Oryzias latipes: one gene and its partner. The protein of the gene in region 1 interacts with the protein of each later gene in a biochemical or structural test. Links are inferred from orthologs where the notes say so. Each region holds a gene or a part of one and is shown in the gene's direction. Other genes may lie near its edges.

Region 1 (3,522 bases):
GAAAATGTAAATAATATTTATTTAATCACCATCATTTATACCTTTAATTAGAACAGGAGATCAGAATCAACAAAACATAACAGATAAAAACACAAAGATTGTGTTACTTCAAAGCCAGTCACAGTCAAAAGTGTTTCTGTCAACTTCCTGGTTAACTTCTGCAGTAAAAAAAACATAAACATTAATGTTGTTTAGGGTCATTTATCAACAAATCCTTCAAATGTTTTCCACAATTTTTCCATCTTCAAAATTTTGTTGGACTACCGTTCCAGTCGATAGATGACGAGAAGATAGGGAATTGCCACAACACCTTAAAAAAATGACTCTTTAAAAACTAGAAAACACTGACACTTTACTTTGAAGATTTATAAACTTCCAGTGACAGTGGCACAAGTGGTTTATTTAATTTTTTCACTTAAATTCCAAACATATTCTCCATATTAAAGCGATATTACATTGACAAAAGTTTATTTTACCATACTTTACTATATTTATAATATTACTAATATTTCATCATATTTGTACTCAAATTTTCAAATATCCAAGTATTCTGTAATCAATGCAGGTCAGCACTACGCCAGCTAACTCCTTAAAGTTGGAAAAGAATGGTGTCAGGCTGCCCGACTTAGGCCACACTCCCATAATTACTGCATTAATCGGATTTTTGTGGAAAAGCAAACTAGCTGCTAAAGATCACAGATGCAGCTCCAAGCAGCATGGAGTGAATCATCTGTCACTTCTGCTACATTCACCGCTGCCACATGCTGAAAGCTCTTCAGGGTTCTCCCAACACATTGCCTACGTTCCAGGCCTGTCACTCCGAATTACACCATCATGTGGAAAAAAACAGATATGCGCAGCAGAGCCATCACTTTAAAAAAAAAAATGCTCCCATCATTTCTCCTCCTTTTCACATTCAATGATGGAGAGACTTCACCAGAGTAGAAAGACATTATTCTGCAGAGCTCGTCTCTTCTTTGCTCTCAGGTTTTCTATAAATAACCACTTTAGTTCTGCTGTATCACGGATAAAAGCATCCCAGCTTCTCTCAAAGCCAAATCAACTGTGGGGAGAAGAGGCGAGTGTTACCAGGCAGAACAGTTAAAGGAGCCCTGTCACTCCTGCAGCGGCGTCTAGTGTCTTCGCCGCCCCCCATGTCAGGCCCCCTGCTTTGGCACATCAAGCCTGTTGTCTTTATTGTGATGGCAGGCGCAGTTCATCCCTTTAACACGCCTGTCTCTTTAGAACACACGACTCAGATGTCTTAGTAATAACCTGATGCTTTTGCTTGGGAAAACTGCAGGGTTTCATGGTGCTTCTAATTGCTTCATTGGAATTCTACTTTTGTTGTCCATTTCACTTCATCTGAATGCAGCATGCACTGTTGCATATTTCTCACTTTTCTGCAATCTGTTCCCTCATCTTCCTCAGGTTGGAATGAACTCCTCATTGCATCATTCTCACACCGTTCCATAGCAGTGAAAGACGGGATTCTGCTGGCGACGGGGCTGCACGTCCACCGCAACAGCGCTCATAGCGCCGGAGTCGGAGCCATCTTTGACAGGTGATTTACTTCTACCTTTCTAAACTTTGACACCGTTTCCGGCCCCATATTTTAAAGGCTTGTAGTTGTGATTACATTGGCTCCTAAGTCATCACACACAAATCCTGCTTGAGCTTTAACAAACTTTAATATTCTGCTTTATGACAGCATCTGCCATTTATGTTTTATTTAACAAAATATTACACTTTTACTTGAAGTTTTGAGCAGTGTCGGAACTATTGACTGAGTCCAGTGTAATAAATATGTGTACCAATGCGTATTGGAGCTCTCAAGGAAACTCTGACCTGCTCAGAAGATGTAAAAAACTCCATGCAAAGTTGAGTGAAGTCAGGAGAACTCAGGAACCACGCTGGTGACGTTTGACGTTCTGGGATAGCTAGCTGAAAAACAGACGTACTCTCCTCAGCATCATCAGTCTGAGCGGATTCAAGATGGAATGTTTTGGAAGTTACTGATATACTTTCTGTAAAATCTTTACCAAAAAATGCATATGCCTTTTTTTAAGACACAATAATTTCAAATGTTGAGCAACACATGAAAAAAGAATTGATGTGACATGATCTTTCAGTAGAGAAATCTCTGCTGAAGTTTTTTTAGGAGTTGATGTTGGTCATTATCAAATAGAAAATGATACATATTTTTGTGTTTATAATTGTTTTTAAAATTTTAAGTTAATAAAAAAAATCAGCTAATTTTTTTTCTTCATTAAGATACCTGGCTGGCTTCTTAAATAAGAAAAAGGTTTTACTTTTATTTTTTTTACTCAAACATGATAATGGAAGCATCATGATGCGGGCTGGTGAGTCTGAAGAGTTGACCCAAAACCAACGCATTCAGTTCTTAACATTTTATCTTATATAGTAAAACCACAAAATCGCTGCCATAACCTCTGGAGAGTTGTGTGAAAATGCTGAAGTGACCCAGAATTGAACTGAACAATTAAGGATCTCTGATTATGGCCAGGCATTCCCAATCCAACCCAAACGGTTCTGCCAAGAACGTCGAAATTTCCAAAAGAAAACTGAGCCAAGCTCCTACAGTCATTGCCAAAACAATGGAAAAAGAAGTCCAAAATAAAACAAGCAAACAAAAAAGAAAAAGATTTCTGAGGTGTTTGCTTTATCGTACAAAAGTAAAACTTTGATGTGTTTGAGAGCAGAGCTGGAACCCTTTGATCTGCCCGGTAACTAGCATTTACAAGACCTATGCTATCTTTTCACTCAGTGTGGCAGAGATGAGGATTCAGGGTAGTGATTAGGCTTCATTACCTACTACCGTCTCTCTTTTGCCCATCCAAATGAAGAAACTAATGAACTCACACACTCCAGTCACCACTTCTGTCTTCCCTTTTTTTTCCTTGTTGCTCTTTTGGTTTGGAGCAAATTGAATTGTGCTGAATTAAGAGCAGCAATTGACCTGAGACTCCAAACGGGAGGGCAAGAAAGAAACGGACTAAGATGCAGTCATAGAAGGGGGAGCAGTTTGAGAGACACACCCACCAGTGATGCCATACAAACTGTCAGCTACTGAGCTCCATCCTTCATTTCCAAAAAAAGAGTAATAATAAATTATATTCAAAAAAGTCTATTTTTGAATTAGAGACATTTGCCGCATTAGCGTATTCACAGTACCTTGCTTGCAACACCTAAAAAAACAGACTGACAGCCCTAAACTAACATTAGTGTGACAATGTCAACTCCCACCTTCCTAGTAACACGTAAAAAAAACAGTTTGACGCTGCTACATGTTAGCTACGGTAGTTTATTCACAATAACACCCAGCCTTGCTTGCAACAGCACAACCAGAAATAATCCATATATAAGGCGCTCTGGATTATACGGCACACTGTCAATTATTGAAAAAAATTCAGACTTTTAAGGGCATTTTATTGTGCGGAAAATACCGTAGTAAATTTTGGCTTTTTAATTGGAAAAATCACAAAAAAATGAGATCAAACA
Region 2 (3,522 bases), on another chromosome or scaffold:
ATAAAAACAATAAGATTTGTTTAACTCAAAGTAAATGGGAAATGGTTCCATGTCTGCACATTTCATTAAATGTATTTCTCTTCTGGTTTTTCAAACATAATCTATAAAAAAGCAGAAACTTTCATCTTTTACTCGCTTGAATAAGCGGAAATTTTATTTTTTTATTTGCAGACTACTTTTAAGCGGTTTTAATGTTATAGAAATTGGATACAAAGCAGGAATAGTTTGAGTGAAGAGAACTTTTGATTTGAAAATACCTATGAATTTGATTATAACCATTTTAACCAAAATCAAGAAACCTGTCATTTTCTAGATAGCATATATACACATAACCTCTGCAGAGTGGCAGTAGTTCCTGATTCACAATGATTTGAATAACAAATACTCAAAAATGCAATTTTTTTAGCTTGATTTTCTTTTAAATGTCCTTCATCAACCCAAAAAGAACGTGTTAAATACACCTAAACCTTTTTTATTTATTAGGACGGATATTAAATACTTTGTTTTTAATACGTTTTTGTGAATGTGTCTTAGTTTTAGAAGACAGACTGGTGGATTTGTGGTAGAAACCATTTTGAGCTTCCGTCTCCTCCACAGCACTGGCGTCCAGCGGCACCATCCCCATCACCTCTCTGGACGGCGGGAACCTGTTGTTCGCCAACACGTCGTCCGCCAGCACGCCCGGCCTGGTGACCACGCCGCTATTTCTGAGCCCCCAGAACCTGTCGCTGCTCACCAGCAACCCCGTCAGCTTGGTGTCAGCCGGCGCCGGGGGGCTCCAGGTCACCGCGGACGCCAACCATCAGGCCACCTCGGTCGCTGTGCCCATGCAAACCTCCACCATCACCACTGCCTCCAAGGCCCAGTGAAGGCCGTGAGGCTGCGTCTGGATCTAACCCCGTTTCCGAGCACTATTCCTGTGGCGCCTCTTAGGGAGGGGGTTACTCCTTGGATTCTGGCCTGGCTGAACAGCCTTCTCATTGTATCTACCATTTTTCTTTTATCTATTTGCTGCCACCAAAAAGAAAAATGACCTCCAATCAGATTGGGACTCTTTTTTTTTCTTTCTTCTTTTTAATATATTTTGAATTCTCCTTAAAGAAACTTCTAACCAAAAACACATTTCACTTTTACAAACTTCGACACGTTTACTAATTCTATTCATCACTAACAGTTTTTGTTTGACTTTTGGGCCTTGATTTAAATCATGTGGATTTTTAGACTCTCTTCTTTATCCTCACTTTATATATTGTCGTGTTTTCAGAACTTTGTAAGTCTGATATTAAGTTAAGATTTAACTATCACTTTTGAATTGTGGTTAAAAGGCTTTAAAAACAAGTAATAAGTGGCCGATCTAAAGGTTATCATTGCTTTACGGGCTCGGAGAGTCGGCGCGCGTCTCTTCGAGCCTTTCTTCTGGAAACACTGACTTTTTACATTTTGCTGCAGCTGCGACGGCGCCGCTCGGTGGCGGCCTCGTAGACACTGACAGAAAATGACTGAAAAGGTGGCGAGGAAAGCTTTAGCGTGAGCTGCAGAGTTGCAGCGAGGGGGAGGTGTGTGAAATTTATAGGATTACTGTATATTCCGTTCAGTTGGGTGTTTCTGCGGTTTGCTTGGTGGGGGGTTGTTGTATTGTGGTTTTAATGTTTAAGTTCTTTTTAACAGTAGTACGATCTACTTGTGCACAGTATCTGTACCAAAAAAAAACAAAAAACTGGATAGATGAGCTGCAGTCTGCCTGTTTTTGGGAGGAATGAAATTCAGTCTTTTTATTCTGTCAGCTGACTGGCTTTCGTACTTTAAGATATACCAAAAATATTTGTTCAAATACTTGGTGTGTGTAGTTAGTGTAGCTTAGTTTAGTCGATATATTTATGAGTACAGAATCTCTTCAGAAATATAGAAATGCAATATTTTGATTACCATTTTCCAAAGATGACTTTTGTTTATAAAGTGTCTCACAGCTCAGTTTGTAATTGGCAGCACAACTAACCAAAAATGCAATGAATTGGTGGGTTTGGGTGCGAGAAAGTCGTTTTTATTGTTGATCTTTTTACAGTTTGGTCCTCCGTGTTTAATCCGGTTTTCTCTAAACGGTTTAGAGGCTCCTTTCACTATTTATTGTAGCAGTTTTAGACTTTTCTAAACAAAAGACAAAGTTTTTTTTCTTTGCTTTTTGTGCTAACTGTCAGCCATACGACAACAGCTTGAACCAAAGTGGTTTTTCTGAGTGGTTGCTGTGCCTGCCTGAGCGCACCAGCTGCTGTTCACACCATCTCTGCTCTCCCAAAACCGTCTTTTTCCTCCTGTCTCTTTCTCCCACCACAGTCGGCACCAGGTTCCCCCGATTTGGTGTCGCTGGATCCAAACCACAGAAACTGAGCTTTAAAGACTCGCTGCTGAAACTCCTGTTTGAGGGCGGCGAGGGGCCTGCATGCTTCCTGATAGCTTTACAGCTTCATCCTGTGTAAATCAGGGTTGTTGTTGGTTCTTTCTTTCTTTTTTTAACCCTTCTATTGTAGGGCTCACACTTGTAAATTCATCAAATTCTCCCCCCCCCTGAACGAGCCCCCACTTTGAACCTGTGATAGACGAAATGCTGCTCCCAGAATCCCTCTGTGGACGAGTTTTCGACCTGCCAAACATTATGTCCCTGTGCAGCAGGGGGAGTCAGTGCCGCCAAGTGCTACCCGTTGTGCTAAAGCCCACACAGACGTAGCATTGTTCTGCAGAGAAATGATTACTGTCGCTGGAAACAGTTTCCGCATCCTCCTCTTTTTTTTTTCTCTCTTGAATTACTGAATATACCTCAGCAGCACTTCAATATGAGGCTCACCTTTAGGCATTTGGGTGTATAGAACTTTCTAGAATGTATAAGAACTGTCCAGCTCCGCCGCTCAGACTTTATACATTTGAACCATGCATAGAAAGAAAACAGAAAAGGACAACCTACTACTGCTATTTTCTAGTACTACTATTTATGGGCTGTTTCCAGGTTTATGTTGTTTTGAAGTCCACTTTGCCGAAGTTGAAAGCTTTTGTGTCTGGTCCCGGACGAGCCCCCAGAACCGGGTCCGTGCTGTTTCTAGAGGCTAGCATGATGAAGCAGTTGGCACCATAGGATGTTACTGAGATATTTATGAGGAAAGACTTAAGAATTAGATAAACAATCTTTTCTTAACTCTATACATATAAATATATATATATATATAAATATATATATATATACACAAACACCTGTAAGATATTCATATTTTATATTTGATCCAGTATGTTATCAAGTCTGAATGTAGTGTTTATCATGCTAACTCGAAACAAATCTCCCCTTAATTTGTTTTTTAATTCAGCTTTTTATTTTCTTATTTTCTAATGAACTGATAAGACCAAAAAGAAAAAAAGGCGATGGGGCGTGTCCCGCCACAGCGCGCCCCCTGTGTCGATGGAATCTGATAGGTTGGAAAGTGTCAGATCTCGATCTACTTAATTTTCAGTTAAATAACTGTGTACTTGATTTGCTGT

The links. The genes of interacting proteins can lie anywhere in the genome.
Region 2: the proteins of rxra (region 1) and pou2f1 form a complex in vitro, tested with the Homo sapiens proteins (2 studies listed by BioGRID). The link is inferred for Oryzias latipes from reciprocal best matches to the Homo sapiens genes RXRA and POU2F1.

What each region holds. Positions count from the first base shown.
Region 1 is NC_019870.2:23,010,155-23,013,676, forward strand, and holds part of rxra (retinoic acid receptor RXR-alpha), read left to right. Parts: intron 1-1,431; coding exon 1,432-1,564; intron 1,565-3,522. UniProt on the Homo sapiens protein: Receptor for retinoic acid that acts as a transcription factor.
Region 2 is NC_019879.2:10,737,296-10,740,817, reverse strand, and holds part of pou2f1 (POU domain, class 2, transcription factor 1), read left to right. Parts: intron 1-597; coding exon 598-869; 3' UTR 870-3,522. UniProt on the Homo sapiens protein: Transcription factor that binds to the octamer motif (5'-ATTTGCAT-3') and activates the promoters of the genes for some small nuclear RNAs (snRNA) and of genes such as those for histone H2B and immunoglobulins.